2 linked regions of the Stegostoma tigrinum genome follow. The protein of the gene in region 2 interacts with the protein of the main gene of each other region in a pairwise test. Links are inferred from orthologs where the notes say so. Each region holds a gene or a part of one and is shown on either strand. Other genes may lie near its edges.

Region 1 (7,962 bases), on a different chromosome or scaffold from region 2:
ACTAATTAGATCGGCTAGGTTTTCCTCCAAATCATTTACGCAGATCACAAACAGCAGAGGTCTCAGTACGGATTCTTGTGGAACATCACCAGTCATAACCTCCATTCCGAAAAGCATCCTTCCACCGCAACCCTGTCTCCTTTGATTTAGCCAGTTCTCTTTCCATCTTGCCAGCTCACCCTGATATGATGTGATACCTTTTGTACAGTCCGCTTGAGGGACCCTGTCAAAGGCTTTACTGAAGTCCATGTAGACAACAATCGCTTTTCCTCAAATCATCGTCAACTCCTCAAAAAACTTGATCGAGTTAGTGAGGCACAACCTCCCCCACACAAAACAATGCTGTTTATCGCTAATGAGTCCATTTGCTTCTAAATGTGAATAGATCTTGTCCCTAGGAATCTTTTCTAATAATTTCCCTGCCACTGATGTGAGACTCACAGGCCTATAATTTCCAGGATTATCCCTGCTACCCTTCTTAAGCAATGGGACAACATTGGCTATTCTCCATTCCTCTGTATCCTGTTTTGTTACAGGTGAAGTCCCAAAGATTTGTCATTGCTCCAGCAATTTGTTATATGGCTTCCCTCAATAACAAGGGTAGATCCCATCAAGATCCGGGACTTACCTACCTCAATACTTTTTGCATTATTCTGAAATGAGTCTCAAAGTGACAAAACACAACAATCCCATTTGACTTCACCACCCCCCCCCCACCACCATCAGTTGTGCCAATAAAGCTCTTAAGTTACCCAAGTTGTAAATCAACTATAAACATGTATACATACAGTGATATAGACACGATCTTTGAGTAAACATTGAACTTGTATCAATAGTCAATTCTAAAAACAGGGCTACATTGAGCAGACAAGTCAACACTTACCAATAGTGCAGAGTAAACAACTTGAGGATTTGAGTGGTCTAGGAACAGGATTAACCCAGGCAGACATCCCTGATCCTGAACAATTGCTCGCCTGTTTAAGGGGTCAGATGCTAAATCTTGCAGCTGGTTTACTACTGCTAGGGCATCAGGCTCCCCACTCATTGTGCCACCATCCACTATGCCATATGTTTTAAGCAACTTTCAAGAATTCCCTGCAAAATGAATACACATTAGGCCAATGACAAATGAAATACATAAATAACATGTACTTAAACTTGAGCAATAATTTCCAAATTACACATATTCAATATTCAGTTAAACTTAATTTAAGCTATCAATGTAGACAACACTCTGATTGATCATGTAGCAGCGTTTTGTATGTTAGTGAACACGAGTAAATTCATTCACGAACAATGAGATAACAAAATGCAAGTGCCATTTCATACATTTCCAAAAGAATTAAACCCAAGTGAAGCTACAGGATTCAGACGACAACACCAGACCAAGACTGGAAAATAACCATTGCAGTACCTAGAGTCCAACTAAAGTCACCACAGTCTTACTAGACAATAAGGCTATGTTATTATCACACAGCTAGGACTGGAGGTAAGTTAACCTGAGGGTCACCATGCCTCAGGCAAGGGGAAAGAGGTTGAGAAAGTGAATCCTTCATGCTAACCTCAGCCAGTGCATGAATTGAATCCATGCTGTTGGTTTCACTCTGCATTGCAAACTAACCATCCAGCTAAATGAACTGACCGAATCGCTATAAGTCTAACTGATCACTTATTTAAAAAAACCCAGAGCTGAAGCACCAGAGATCAAGAGCAGTTACTTCAGTATAGAATCAGTGTGAAACAGACCCTTCAGTTCAACCAGTCCACTAAACTAGTCCTACCTGCCTGTGTTTGGCACATATCCTGCCAAACCTTTCCTATCCACAAACTTATCCAAATGTCTTTTAAATGCTGTAACTGTACCTGTATCCACGACTTTTACTGACAGTTCAATCCACACACAAAGCGCACGGCGTAAAAAACGTTGCCTCTCAGGTCTTTTTGAAACTTTCTCCTCTCAACTTTAAAATTTCCGAAGAAGGGTCCCAACCCAAAACGTCAACTTTCCTACTCCTCTGATGCTGTCTGGCCTGCTGTGTTCCTCCAGCATCAGCAGTACTTACTATCTCTTAAAAATGTCCCCTAGTTTTGAAATCCCCCATCCTCGGGAAAAGACCCTTGTCATTCACTTTATAAATGCTCCTCATGATTTTATAAACATCAATAGGGTCACCCCTCAACCTTACACGTTTTATCAAACTGGATTGTGTCAAAGTGGAGTGAGACTAACTGCTGACAGGCCTTCTTCTGTGATGTAATGTTCTCATTCTAGTGCCATATCCAAGGTCATGGTGTTTATGGAAAAATGGTAAGATTATCAAAGCCTTGCGTATTCTATGCAATACGAAACCGGATTTATGCATTGTAAACCAGCAGCTGTGAATCAAAGACTATAACACACACGTAAAGCGCAAAAAGATTTTAAAAAATCAAAACCCGTTGGCTCAAGCATTACTATCGTTACCTAAAACAGAAATTGCTGGGAGAAACTCAGCTGGACAGGCACCATCTGTAGTGCGATAAAACAGTTAACGATTCGAGTCCAGTTTTATATTGCTGCCGAAAAATTACATTAAACAGAGAGAGGTGAGATTCTAAGTGCCGGCCTCAATTCCAGAAACATTTTTTAAAAATACCGGTTAAAACAAGATGGAGTGTAAATGAAATGAAAACCCTGATGAGCACGAGGGATGGTAATGGGGTGGGTGGAGGCAGGCGAGGGAGAGTTTAAATGTGGGAGCTCACCGGCCTCAGAGGCCGCCCGGGCCCCGGTGCCGAGCATAGGCCTTCGCCTACCTTGTTATTCCCGCCCGCCTACCACCTTGTATGACTCATCAACAATAACCCCGCGCCTATCGATCACTCGCCCGCAAGCTCCATACGGAATAAACCGACACAAGGCCTCAGTGAGACATGAACGACAGCCACTTTCCACCGACACAACCCGGAGCTCTCCGCTCGACCCTCTCCCTCCCGTCCCCGTTCCTAACCCTGCACCCACTCAAACCCCGCCACCTCATTGGCTCACATCCACCCGCACGGCACAGCCTATCGCACGACGTCTTATTGCCGCCCCCTCCCCCAGTCGGCAACCTCCTACCGGTGTGGATTTGAACGTGCCGCCGTTTATTTTAATTTTTAGAAGCTGAGTAATGGTGAAGTGAAGCCGTGCCGATTGTTAAACGCACGCCGTTACACGGGGCTGGGATTGTGGTAAATATTTTCCGCGCGACGGCGGCGGTTAGAGCCGCACCGGAAGTGGGTGTCCGCGCGCTCTTTCAGGACACGGGCCCGAGGGCAGACACAGAGCCGGCAGGGCAGAGGCCGGAGGGTGGGGTGGGCACTGAGCTGGCAGGGCAGAGGCCGGAGGGTGGGGTGGGTACTGAGCTGGCAGGGCAGAGGCCGGAGGGTGGGGTGGGCACTGAGCCGGCAGGGCAGAGGCCGGAAGGTGGGGCACAGCGGACAGGGCGGGGGGCACAGTGCGTGCTGGGACCCGGGGGCGGGGCTGAAGCGAGAGAGCGGAGCGGCCCTGGGAGGGAGGAGGGGAAGACCGGACCAGGCGGGGCTGTAGCGGGAGGAGTGGGTCTGAATGGATCTCATTGACATCGGGGTCTGCCAGTAACCAGTGAGAGCTAAGCCTGTTTACTGTTGGGATTTACTGGCATTGACAGAGCCTCCAGGCCGGGCTGCGTGACTCTGATTCAATGATTCATTCAATCATGTGAAACCTTGTGCACACTGTTCTCTTTGGCGAGAAAAGACGGATCTGTTATCTCTGTACATTGGATTTTTTTTGCTATCTGAACGATCAACCACATTATCGAAGAATTCAGGGGAGCCCCGTATCTACAAGGTTCTAAAAATATTTTTTCTGAAATAGCATTGTGTGCCGATTGTGTCAAATAAATCTTACTGCACACGCCGCTTGTCAAGACGGATTCGCATGTCGCTATTCGCTTGTACTGCAATGAAACCAACATGATAGTCGCATTTAGTAATTATTCTTGCTTCAAGTGTCTAGGAATGCTATTCGGCTGGGATTGAGCATATTGGTGCCTTTGTTATATCACTGACAAAAGAAACCAAGTAATGGGTGTGAGGTGCATCATCAGGCAAATCGACTTCCAAAATTTATGAATTCTATACTAACAGCACCTTTATGTTCACTAAGGGATTTGGATTCATGTTAAATTTTTGTTTAATTTTTCTGTTGCTGAATACTTTGAGGAGATTAATAATTTGTACCAGATACTGAAGCAAAATTTCATTAAGCTTCCAATGTGGAACATAACACTTTGAAAATGGTTAGAAGAAATTGAATGTCTTGCTGATTTGCATCTGGTTGTTCATACAACTAGCTGTAATATACCTTTTTATTACTGGATTGCATGACTGCGGGTTCATTGTATTCATTGTTCTTTAGTTCTCTGAATTTTGAGGTGACCCTCATCACTTACAAAGATCTTCATGCTGGCTAGCCCTAAGTATGAACTTTATAACTGTGTCCAGACCAGTCTAGAACTCATTCTGAACATTCAGCAGTGTTAAAAAGGGTAAGTATATAACATAAGCAGCAGACATTGAAAACCATGAGCTTAAACTTTAAAAAGCAAAGCTATCTTAATATGCAAATACAGATGTTTAAAGATGTAAAGTATTATAGATTATAGGATACCTTTTGTGAACATTGAATGCTAGGATGGTTTCATACTGACCTTTTTTAATTCACTCATGGACTGTGGGTGTTGCTGCCTACTCCAGTGTTTATTGCCCGTCTGTAGTTGTCCTTTGGTGGTGAGTGCATTCTTGAACTGCTGGAACCTGTTAGGCCTAGGTTGTTAACAACAATGTTGTTAGGGACATGGTTCCAGGATATTAACCTGATGATGTTGGAAGAGTGGTGTTTGTTTTTTCAAGCCTTAATGAGTGGCTTGGAGGGGACCTTGCAGGTGGTGGTGTTTTCATGTATCTACTGCCCTTCTCCTTCGAGTTGGTGATGGTCATGGGTTTGGAAGGTGCTGTCTGAGGAGTGTTGGTGAAGTGCTACTGAATGTTGGTAATGGAGGAAGTATATGTTTGTGAATGTGATGCTAATCAAGTATGCTGCTTTGTTCTGGATCATTTCAAGCTGCTTGAGTGTTATTGGAGATGTACTTGTCCAGGCAGGTGGACACTATTTCATCAAACCCCTTATTTGAGCCTTCATGATGTTGGACAAGCTTTGAGGAGTTGGGAGGTTAGTTTCTCATTGCTGGATTCCTAGCTTGTGACCTTATCTTGCAGACATAATATCTATTTGGCTAGCCTATTTTAGCATCTGGTCAATGGAATGCCCCCTGTTGGGACTTTCAATTATGATAACATTGACTGTCAAGGCAAAATAGTTAGATTCACTCATGCTAGCGATGGTCTTGGCATGGCATTTGTGTGGTTCACATGTTATTTGTCAGCCCAGTCCTGGATAATGTCCAGGTCTTGCTGCATTTAGACATGGGCTGCTGCAGTGTCTGGAGAGTCAAGAACATTGCAATCATCAGCAAACATCCCAACTTCTGTCTTTATGATGGAGGAAAGGTTGCTGATAAAGCAGCTGAAGATGTTTGAGCTTCGGACTCTCTCCTGACAAGTTCCTGTGGAGATGTCTGAGAGTAAGGTGCTTCACTTCTAACAACCGCAATCATCTCCCTTTGTGTCGGATACAGCACTAACCAGTTTTCTCTAATTTTCATTGACACCAGTCTTGCTAAGCTGCCTGATGTCACAGTTGATTTAATGTGGCCTTGGTGTTAAAGTCAGTTGTTGTTGCCTCTGCTCTGGATTTAAGCTATATCATCTATGTCTGAACTAGACCTCTGAAGAGATCAGGAGCTGAGTCACCCTGGGAGAACCCAAAATGAGCATCTGTTTGCAGGTTATTGCTAAGCAAAGTGCTGCCTCATGGCACTGTGTTGATAACACCATCACTTCTCCGATGTTCGAGAGTAGACTGAGAGTAGAGTAATTGACTGGAATGGATTTGTCTTGTGCATAGGACATATCTAGGCAACATACCACATTGTTGGATAGGTGCCAATTTTATGTATGCACTCGATCAGCTCTGTTAGGGGTTGAGCTTTGCTTTAGTCTCATTTTGTTTCAATGTACTAAATATAATGCCAATACCATAACTCCTCAAATGAACAACCAAATTACTTTTTGAAAAGTAAAGGTTTAGCACCATTGAAGCAGTTTAGCTTTCTGTGGTGTTAACAGGGAGTTAAGGACCAAAGCAGCACCATTTTACAAGGATGTTACAGAAGCAATGCAGTACCTTCAGACAGACTTTTTTACTCAACTGCTCTTGGCTTATATAGTATCTCTAAGGTTTTGGAGTAGATTTGTAGCTCAGGTTGTGGTTAGTTGGCTTGCCAAGCTGGTTTGTTGTTCTGCAGATGTTTCATTACCCTGCTGGGTAACATCATCAGTGCAACCTCCAATGAAGCCCCATTGTGTTTTCTTGCCAGGTTTTTAAACTCTGGAGTCTGTTGAGCTGGATTACCTCCCTTCCGGTTTTCCTTCGCAATGCAGTGTATATGGGGTCAGGTTCTATATCTTTGGCTTTGTTCATGGACTACCAGGCTTCTAGGAACTCGCGTGTCTGCCTCTGCTCTGCTTGTTCCAGGATCTTGGGGTTGTCCCAATCGAATTGGTGGTTCTCCTTATCCACATGGATAGAGACAAGTATTGGTCATGTCTTTTGTAGCCAGTTGGTGTTCATGTATCCTTGTTGTTAATTTCCTTCCTGCTTGTCCAGTGTAGTGTTTGTCACAACCTCTGCAGGGAATCTTTTATATGCTGTTGGTCATGTCCATAGTGGGTAGTGTGTCTTTGGTTTGGGTGAGCAGTTGTCGTAAGATTGATATGGGTTTGTGTGCTACTCTAATGTCCAGTGGTATTATATAGTATAAAAGTTTGCATTTGTTCTGAGTTGAGCTTTTTCTTGGCTGAAAAAAAACATTTTTAAATGTTTCTCATGACTTTTGTTTTAAATTATCTCTGTATGTAGCTTTCTGATTATATTGTATCTTCCCTTCAGCTGAACAATGGGACTGCATAAAGCTTCTAGACTCCCAAGTTATGTGGATTGCAAAGCTGTGATTTGGCCTTAATGTTATTATTCCTCGTTCAGATGATTAGAATGATGTTGGAATATGCTGGAATAGACATGGATTCAGTAAGTTAAATATTTCTTTCCTGATTTACATTTTTAATTCAAGATATGATTTCCCTCTGAGGTTGCATAAGTAATCAAAATTTATGTACAAAGGTCTGAATGTGAACTTATGATCCAGATTTCAGGACCAAATTACTGCGTGCTGGAATCTGTACTGAAAACAAAAATTGCTGGAAAGTATAGCAGGTCAAACAGCATCCATGGAGAGAGTGTGCAAGCTAATGTTTCAAGTCTAGATAACTTTTCACTAGAGACATGTAGTTACTGTAGAGACCTTTGAAACATTAGCTTACTATTACTCTATGAATGTTGCCTGACCTGCTGTAATTTCCACCATTTTTTCATCCAGGATTACAGTCCTCTCTCTCAAATTTATTCTTTTGTGGATGTGGTTTTACTACCAAGATCAGATTTTGTTATCCATCCCTGTTGCCCTTGAGCTTGCTTGGGTCATTTCAGAGGGCAATTAAGAGTCAACATGCTGTGGTCTTGAGTCGCATGTTGGCTAGGCTGCATAAATATGATAGGTTTCCTTCCTTAAAGGGAACTGAATCAGATGAGTTTCTATAACAATTGATGGTTTTTTGGTCACAATTGCAGAGACTGGCTTTAAACTTATGTATGTTATTCTGTATTTTTACATGGCATTTGTTTTTGGACCTTTAGATAACTCATATACTCTTAAAGAAAAATATAATCTGGCGACAATTTGATTTATTAGTAATTCAAACATTCACTTGTAGCTGAAA
Region 2 (7,528 bases):
GAAAAAGACATGGCATGGGACCCTTCAAAGATAAATATACAATACTCTACATCTCCCAAAATTTAATCTTTGACCATTTAAAAATGCTTTTGTATACACAGCAGCTTCAAATTTAAAGTAGTTTGGGGTAAATACCAGCTATACAACAAGGTTGTTTATTCATAACTTCCAGCACAAGATTTATTCAAAACTAATTTGACTGAGATTCACTAGATGGCAACATTTCCCCCACAAAAATAAGTCAGTTGATGAAGGAAATACATTTTGTCAATATACGCATTATTAGGAAGCAACGCATTTCAGAGCTGTAGCCCCTTCGTTAGTCGTCACAGGCACTCAACTTCGATTAGATTAGATTCCCTCCAGTGTGGAAACAGGCTCTTCAGCCCAGTAAGTCCACACCGCCCCTTGAAGTATCCCACCCAGACCCATCTCCCTATAACCCACACACTCCTGAACACTACAGGCAATTTAGCATGGCCAATCCACCTAGCCTGCACATCTTCGGACCGCGGGAGGAAACAGGAGCATCTGGAGGAAACACACGCAGACACGGGGAGAACGTGCAAACTCCACACAGACAGTTACCCAAGGCTGGAATCGAACCCGGGTCCCTGGCACTGTGAGGCTGCAGTGCTAACCACTGAGCCACTGTGCCACCCTAACTTCCAAAGACCATTTAAGCTACATGAAAGGGAAAGCTTTTAAATATTACCCCTCCCATGCCACCCCTTAATTCTTTAATGGGAATTGAGCATCGCAAGAAAAGTTAACATTTGTTCTCCACCCTACTTTCCCTTGAAAGGAGTAGCTTGCTAGGCCATTTCGGACACTAAGAGTCAAAAACGTTGCTGTGGGTCTGGAGTCAGGGGTAGATCAGACCAGAGATAATGAGAACTGCAGATGCTGGAGAATCCGAGACAACAAAGTGTGGAGCTGGATGAACACAGCAGGCCAAGCTGCATCTTCGTTGTGCTTCTGAGATGCTGCTTGGCCTGCTGTGTTTATCCAGCTCCACACTTTGTCATCTTAGATCAGACCAGATTTTGCTCCTAAAAGGAAATTAGCGAGCCAGATGGTTTTAACAATTGTGAAACTATCACGACTTGAGACTTGCTTTTTATGCCAGATTTATGACAGGAATTTAAATTCTAGAAGCGAACATTGTAAGATTTGAATCAATGTCTCAACTGCAAATTAACTTGACCCTCTATATTAGAAACTAGTCTATTAACACTAGAACAGTCACCATCTCCCCATAACAAAATAGAACCCATGGCATGCAATATACCAAGGTCTAGGTAGGTGACATTTACGTTTTCTAAGCAGTTCCATAAGGGTACCAAACAGGCTTCTGTGAACTAATGTGATAAGAAGCGTTATTCAAGCATGTCACATGGTTGAAGTGGAGTAATCAAAGAGCAAGATTTCAGTAATTTCAAGGCATAGTTAAAGTGTCTTCCCAAATGAAGTAGAAGTTGATATGGCAGTTTATGTATTTAAGCCCAATTAACTGAACAATTCAAAAGTACGCTCCTGTTCTGAGATGAGATAGCATGAGTTGCCGATGCTGGAGAATCTGAGATAACAAGGTGTAGAGCTCAATGAACACAGCAGGCCAAGCAGCAGAGGAGCTGATGTTTTGGGGCTGGACCCTGAAGAAAACCTGAAACATCAACTTTCCTGCTCCTCTGACGCTGCCTGGCCTGCTGTGTTCATACAGCTCTACAACTTATCTCCATACTTCAGTACTAATGTTTTTCAATATCATAAAGCAAAACATTTACTATCTAAACAGTACTATTACCTGAAAACAAACTCGAGGACATGGTTTCAAAGGGAGATTTGATCCAATCATTCGGACGACACTGCGAGAGGATCCATAAGGTTTATTTTGCCATATTGGAATCATCTGCAAGGTAAAAGTTACCACAAAACAGTGGAATTTTCCATATCTAGAGACAATATATAGTTTTACACAAAAGTGAAATTTTAATTCCAAATTAGTGACAGCCACATTTGGAAAGAGGCAGACAGCACTTCAAACTCAATATGGAGTCATAAATTAATCTGATGTATCAAATAGCAAACAATATGGTTGTTGTAGGTTAAATCAAGGCATTCAAGAGGGTATTCAATGATTATTGGGGGGCAGGGGGCCAGTTTGCAAATGCAGAGCCATATCTAGCATAGGGTTAATTCTGTTCTGAAGAAACATTAATTCTACTTTCTCTCCACAGATGCTGCCAGCCTGCTAAGCTTTCCCCAGCAGATGTTTTGGTTTGATTTGCAGCATCCACAGTTCATTCGTTCATTGGTTTGTTTTGTTTTAATATTGAGTAGCCTGGTATTGTCAATACTAAATGTAATTTAGGCAGAAGTGGCTCAGAGCTCTGGTAACAAGCCCCTTACTATCAACAGAATTCCATCCTATTTATATAGTCATTATTTGTTGGTTTGCCCCACTTGGAATGCTGTAGGCCTAGAGCAATGGAGATGCCTAATCTGGTACAACAGCCCAACTGGAGTAAAAATCGGGAATTTAAAAAAAAGCCAAGGTCAATTAGCAGCTCGAGTTATTTGCAAACCAGCGATAACAAGGTCAAACTTTTCCTGTGGCTCTAATACACACATCTGTCACAAAAAAAATGCACACATTCTGAATATTACTGCATTTATTAAACGATAATTGCCTGATTTAAGTGCGTTTATTAAGTTTTAAAATATTTTTTCCATATTAACAATTAAGTCGAAAAGGATAAGCTTAACTTAATACTTAACATCGCTAGAAATAAAAGCTACGATAGTAACAATTGCTTATGACGCTTGGGCAAAAATTTTAGGCCCACTACTCACGGCAGAGAGAGGCTCCGCATAAAGTTAAGAACGTACCGTATATTCAGAGAAAGGGAGGGGGCAGCTGGCCCTTCCAGCATTAACTGCACCGACACATCGAGAATGATAAAACTTACGCCACCTCCTTCACAGAATCAAGACCCGGTGATGCGGGTCAAGAGCTCGTTACCATGGCCCTTTTAATAAACTCATCGCCTATTGGCTGCGAGGTCAGCCAGCAACCAATTACCTTTGAGGAAAGGGGGTATGTGGCACCGCGGCCTAGTTCTCGGTGCTAGAGCCGACCCCCAGCCGAGTGACTGGGAGAACCAGCCTCTGCAGAGCTTGACCAATCTGCAGCAAAAGCGTTGCCCCAGTACTTATTACATGCAGTAAATGCTGATTAATGTTTTCGGCGTGGTATTATGTTTGAGAGGGAATAGGAGTTTAGTCCTAGTGTTTACGTTCCCTCGGTCCAGTCAGATCTGATATTATTAATTAGTGAATGTTGTGTGTGAGGCTTTTTTAAGTCAATGTATGAAGATGGCTGAAATCATATCTACCAAAGATTTGGGGCGAAAAATTTGTTGTGGCAAGTGATTTGCTATTGCTCAGATTGGCTACTAACATTATTTTCACTTCCGTCTTATTGCAAAACTGTGCTGTTGAGAAAATAGTGGGAACATGTCATCAAATTGTCGGGATCTGCTGAGCGGTCAGCTTTACCAAATCATCTCCTGCTGAGCAATATTAGTTGAAAATCTTAATAACTGATATACGATAAGACGCATGTAAGTGTAAAAAAAAGCTCTTCTGCTTTGGAAATCATTGGTTTTTGATGTGCGATTTATGTTTCGATGTTTTAGATGTTTTTTTTAAGACTGTCGTTGAAAAAAACTGAAGAAGACGGGGAGCTGGGGTGAAGGAAGAACTCCGAATTAGAATAATGCATAGTTGCAGTCCAATCTTTGATATTTTGAGTTGCGGTCTAATTCTATATGTCATCATGGATGAGTGGGAAGCGCGCTTGCGTCTGAATCGGAAGATTGAGTTCGAGACCCAGGGTAGAGATATGACTGAAGGAGTGCAATGCCTTGCAAATAATATTTGGTTGTCAAATGGTGTATGTTCAGTCATCAGAGCTAGCATGTGGAGTTTTGGTGTCCAATGATGGTTATCCCTTTACCAACATCATGAAAATAGGTTTTGTGGTTATTATCATATTACTGTTTGTTGGACTCTATAATAATAAATGTTACGACATTTCCTACATTATAGCAGAGTGACCACATTTTAGAAGCTTTTGAAGAAACCCTTATGCCCCACGTTATTGGAGGTAATGTATTTGCATGGATAGAAAATTAGCTAAGTAAGAAAAAACTAAGAGATGTCATAAGAGGGGCATTTTGAGAGTGGAAACTCATAACCATTGATGAGCTCCAGGGATGGATGCTGGGGCCACAAATATTTACAATATATATAGTTGACTTGGATAAGGAAAGTGAATGTACCATGGCCAAGTTTATGGATGATCCAAAAAAGGTGGGAAGTCAAGGATGACATGAAGAGTCTTCAAAGAGATATAGAGAGGTTAAGCAACTGAGTAGAAATTTGGCAGGTGCGATCTAATGTGATGTTATGAACTTTGGCAGGAAGAAAAGAGGAGCTGTTATTTAAATGGAAAAAGATTACAGAAAGTGAGGGACAGAGGAATTTGGGAGTGACTACAGAAAGTGAGGGAACACAAATTTGAAAGTCACGACAGAAAGCGAGGGAACAGAGGAATTTGGGAGTCACTACGGAAAATGAGGGAACAGGAACTTCGGAGTCCTATTCCATATATCACAAAAAAGCATCCAAGTTCAGAAGGCGAATTGAATGTTGGCCTTTATTTCAAAGGGAATGGAGTATAAAAGTTTGCTAAAACTATTGAACAATTTCAGGTCCTTATTTATGGAAGACATACTGGCTTTGGAGGCACTCCAGAGAAGGTTCGCTAGGCTGATACCAGGTGTGGAGGGGCTATCTTATGAGGAGAGGTTGAGTAGGTTAGGCCTGTACGCGTTGGAATTAAAGAAGAATGAGGGACGACCTTATTGAAACACAGAGGATTTTTTGGGGACTTGCTAGGGTAGGTCACCTTTTCCATCCTGCCTGTCCTTTTCAAAAGTTATATACCTCTAAATATTTAATTCCTGCATTCGATCTCTTGTAACTATTATCCTAAGAACTTCATTCTTGTGATTCAGTGTAATAGTAGATTGCTTTATTTTCCTCTGGCAAGTTTGTGCAGATAGCTTGGAATCTCTGTTTGATAAATCTCTGTCCATAAACATAGTATCCACTTTGCTTTGAATCACCTGTTCTGGATGGAGCCACTCTGCAAATCAATAAGTATTTTAGCCTAGGACTAGTTGATTTGCGCTTATTATTCTTGGGAAAGTTTCTTATTCGTCTAAGTATCACATTCTGAAGAATACCTGTGTAGATTGCATAGAGGATTGACCTTTGAATATCGCTTTATCTCTTTCACACTTCTAAGACCTCTGGATTTTCACCACTTTCTGGTGTTCAATCCAAGCCCATGTTTTTGTATTGAATCATCAGCATGCCCACTTTAGAGGTCTACTCTGCCCCGTCTCCAAATGTTTCAGTGACTGCCTATCTATTCAGCTGTTTGTGTATTTGTGAAAAAATATCCTACTACTGTTGTTTCCAGTGAAATCAGTCAGATCAACACAATTTGGTATTTTGCTTCACAATATTTCTTGGAAAGCTAAATGCTGGAGAAGGATTGTTTTAATTATTCATTCATGGGATGTCTTTCATTGGCTGGGCCAGTACATATTACCCATCCCTAGTTGCCCTCGAGGGTGGTGGTGAGCTGCCTTGTTGAATCGCTGCAGTTACTTTGTTGTAAGTACACCCATGCTGCTGTTAAGAGTGAGTTATTATAATTTATATTCTATTATATATTACAGATATTGAAACTTCATTACTAACCAATAGAACCACAACAGGCATGTGATGTGATAAAAACCCTTGGCCTAAGAGTCAAAATTCCCATGGGGAAAGACTTGCATTAATTGAAAAGTATTCTACAAGAATTGCAGCTGCATTTGCAAAGGCATGGAATTTTCTAAGTGCAGTGCTCAGGTACAAAAAAATTATGCAAATATCCATTAACAATAAAAAGAAGATACTGTCTTAAAATGTGTGTAATACTGAAAGAAATGGAGTTTTTTTGTTAAGGTTCTTAATCACAAACTCAGAAAAGGACATTGCCGATGAACAATAGGTGATTTACATATTAAATATATACAAGTTGAAGAAAAAGCTTAAACATGACCAAATACATGCAGAATTTGACTTGTCATTGTGCATGCTCATGTAGACAAATTATTAGAATATTTTCCATTCATCACTTTCACTTCAAATACGTAGGAGAAAAGTCTTTATAAATATTAACAAATTACTGTTCCATACATTATTAAAATTGCCCATTCTTTCTTGTCAGTTGTCAGATGAGGTAGGAACATAAGGCCCCTCAAACCTGTTCTGTCATTCCAAACAATCTGATTATTACCCCAACTCCACTTTTGTGTTTATCCCCAAACGTCTTGACTCCCTTATCAATCAAATATCTGTATAACTTAGCCTTAATTATATTCAAATGACTGAGACTCCAATGCTGTTCTGGGAAAGAGAATTCCATGACCATAAACACTCTGACAGAAATAAAAATTCTCCTAATCTCTGTGTTAAATAGGAGACCCCTAATTTTTAAATCATGTTCCCTACATCTAGACACTTTCATCAAAGGGGAACATTGACTGATCATCCACCTTGTTAAATATCCTCTCAGGATATTTTCTGTTCCAATGAGACCACCTTTCAATTTTCTAATCCCCAATGGGAGTAAACTTCAATCTTAGATCTCTAAATAACGTGCCTAAAATGCACATAATCTGTTAACTATCCTTTGAGGATAGTGCCCCAGTAGTGCAGTCAGTAGGTGTATCTCTTGTTATGCGGCAATATAGTAAAATACCATATTTAATTAAAAAACGAAGAACTGCACATGTTGGAAATGTGAAACAAGAAAAAGTGCTTGGGAAACTCCGCAGGTCTGGCAGCAATTGTAGAGGGAAAAATAGAGTGAACTTATTGAGTTCAATGGCCCTTGTCAGAACTGAAAATAGTGGGAAAGGATAGTATCTCTGCCGGTAAGGGTTCGGAGTAGAGGGAGGAGTGAATAGAATATATAAAGACAGTGGTAAGAGAAAGGGAGAAGGCACATAATGAGATTGCTGCTGATGATAAGCTGAGGGAGTGATAAATACTGAGTAGGGTGTGAAAGGGGTTAAAAATTATTTAGCTGTGCTGGGACAAATCCATACAAATCAGGGTCTAGAGTGTGGTGGCGGGTGTGCATGGTGAAGGTAGCAAACATGGAGGTTGTTTGCATTCTGAAATTGTTGAAGGTCGGAAGGTACCTGTAAGATGAGTTGTTGTTTCTCTAGCTTCCATTGAGCATCACTGGAGCTCTGCAGCAGGCCCAAGCCAAAAGTGTTGGCTTTAGAACACGGTGGCATGTTAGAATGGCAGGCACCTGGAATATTGGGGTCATTTTTACAGAAAGAACATTGATATTTGGCAAAGCAGTCATCCAGTCTGCATTTTGTCATCCCAC

The links.
Region 1: the proteins of mtfr1l (region 2) and armc1 interact in binary tests that used the Homo sapiens proteins (3 or more experiments, as listed by UniProt). The two-hybrid records come from large-scale screens. The link is inferred for Stegostoma tigrinum from reciprocal best matches to the Homo sapiens genes MTFR1L and ARMC1.

What each region holds. Positions count from the first base shown.
Region 1 is NC_081358.1:32,273,228-32,281,189, reverse strand, and holds the start of armc1 (armadillo repeat-containing protein 1), read right to left. Parts: upstream 3,015-7,962; 5' UTR 2,746-3,014; intron 2,721-2,745; exon of another isoform or gene 2,465-2,720; intron 2,412-2,464; exon of another isoform or gene 1,864-2,411; intron 1,096-1,863; 5' UTR 1,046-1,095; coding exon 884-1,045; intron 1-883. Other genes in the region: mtfr1 (mitochondrial fission regulator 1), read left to right, coding at 7,148-7,213.
Region 2 is NC_081377.1:37,102,412-37,109,939, reverse strand, and holds the start of mtfr1l (mitochondrial fission regulator 1-like), read right to left. Parts: upstream 3,061-7,528; 5' UTR 2,893-3,060; intron 1,913-2,892; coding exon 1,808-1,912; intron 1-1,807. Other genes in the region: si:ch211-15d5.11 (nuclear receptor coactivator 7), read left to right, coding at 3,103-3,227. UniProt on the Homo sapiens protein: Mitochondrial protein required for adaptation of miochondrial dynamics to metabolic changes. Regulates mitochondrial morphology at steady state and mediates AMPK-dependent stress-induced mitochondrial fragmentation via the control of OPA1 levels.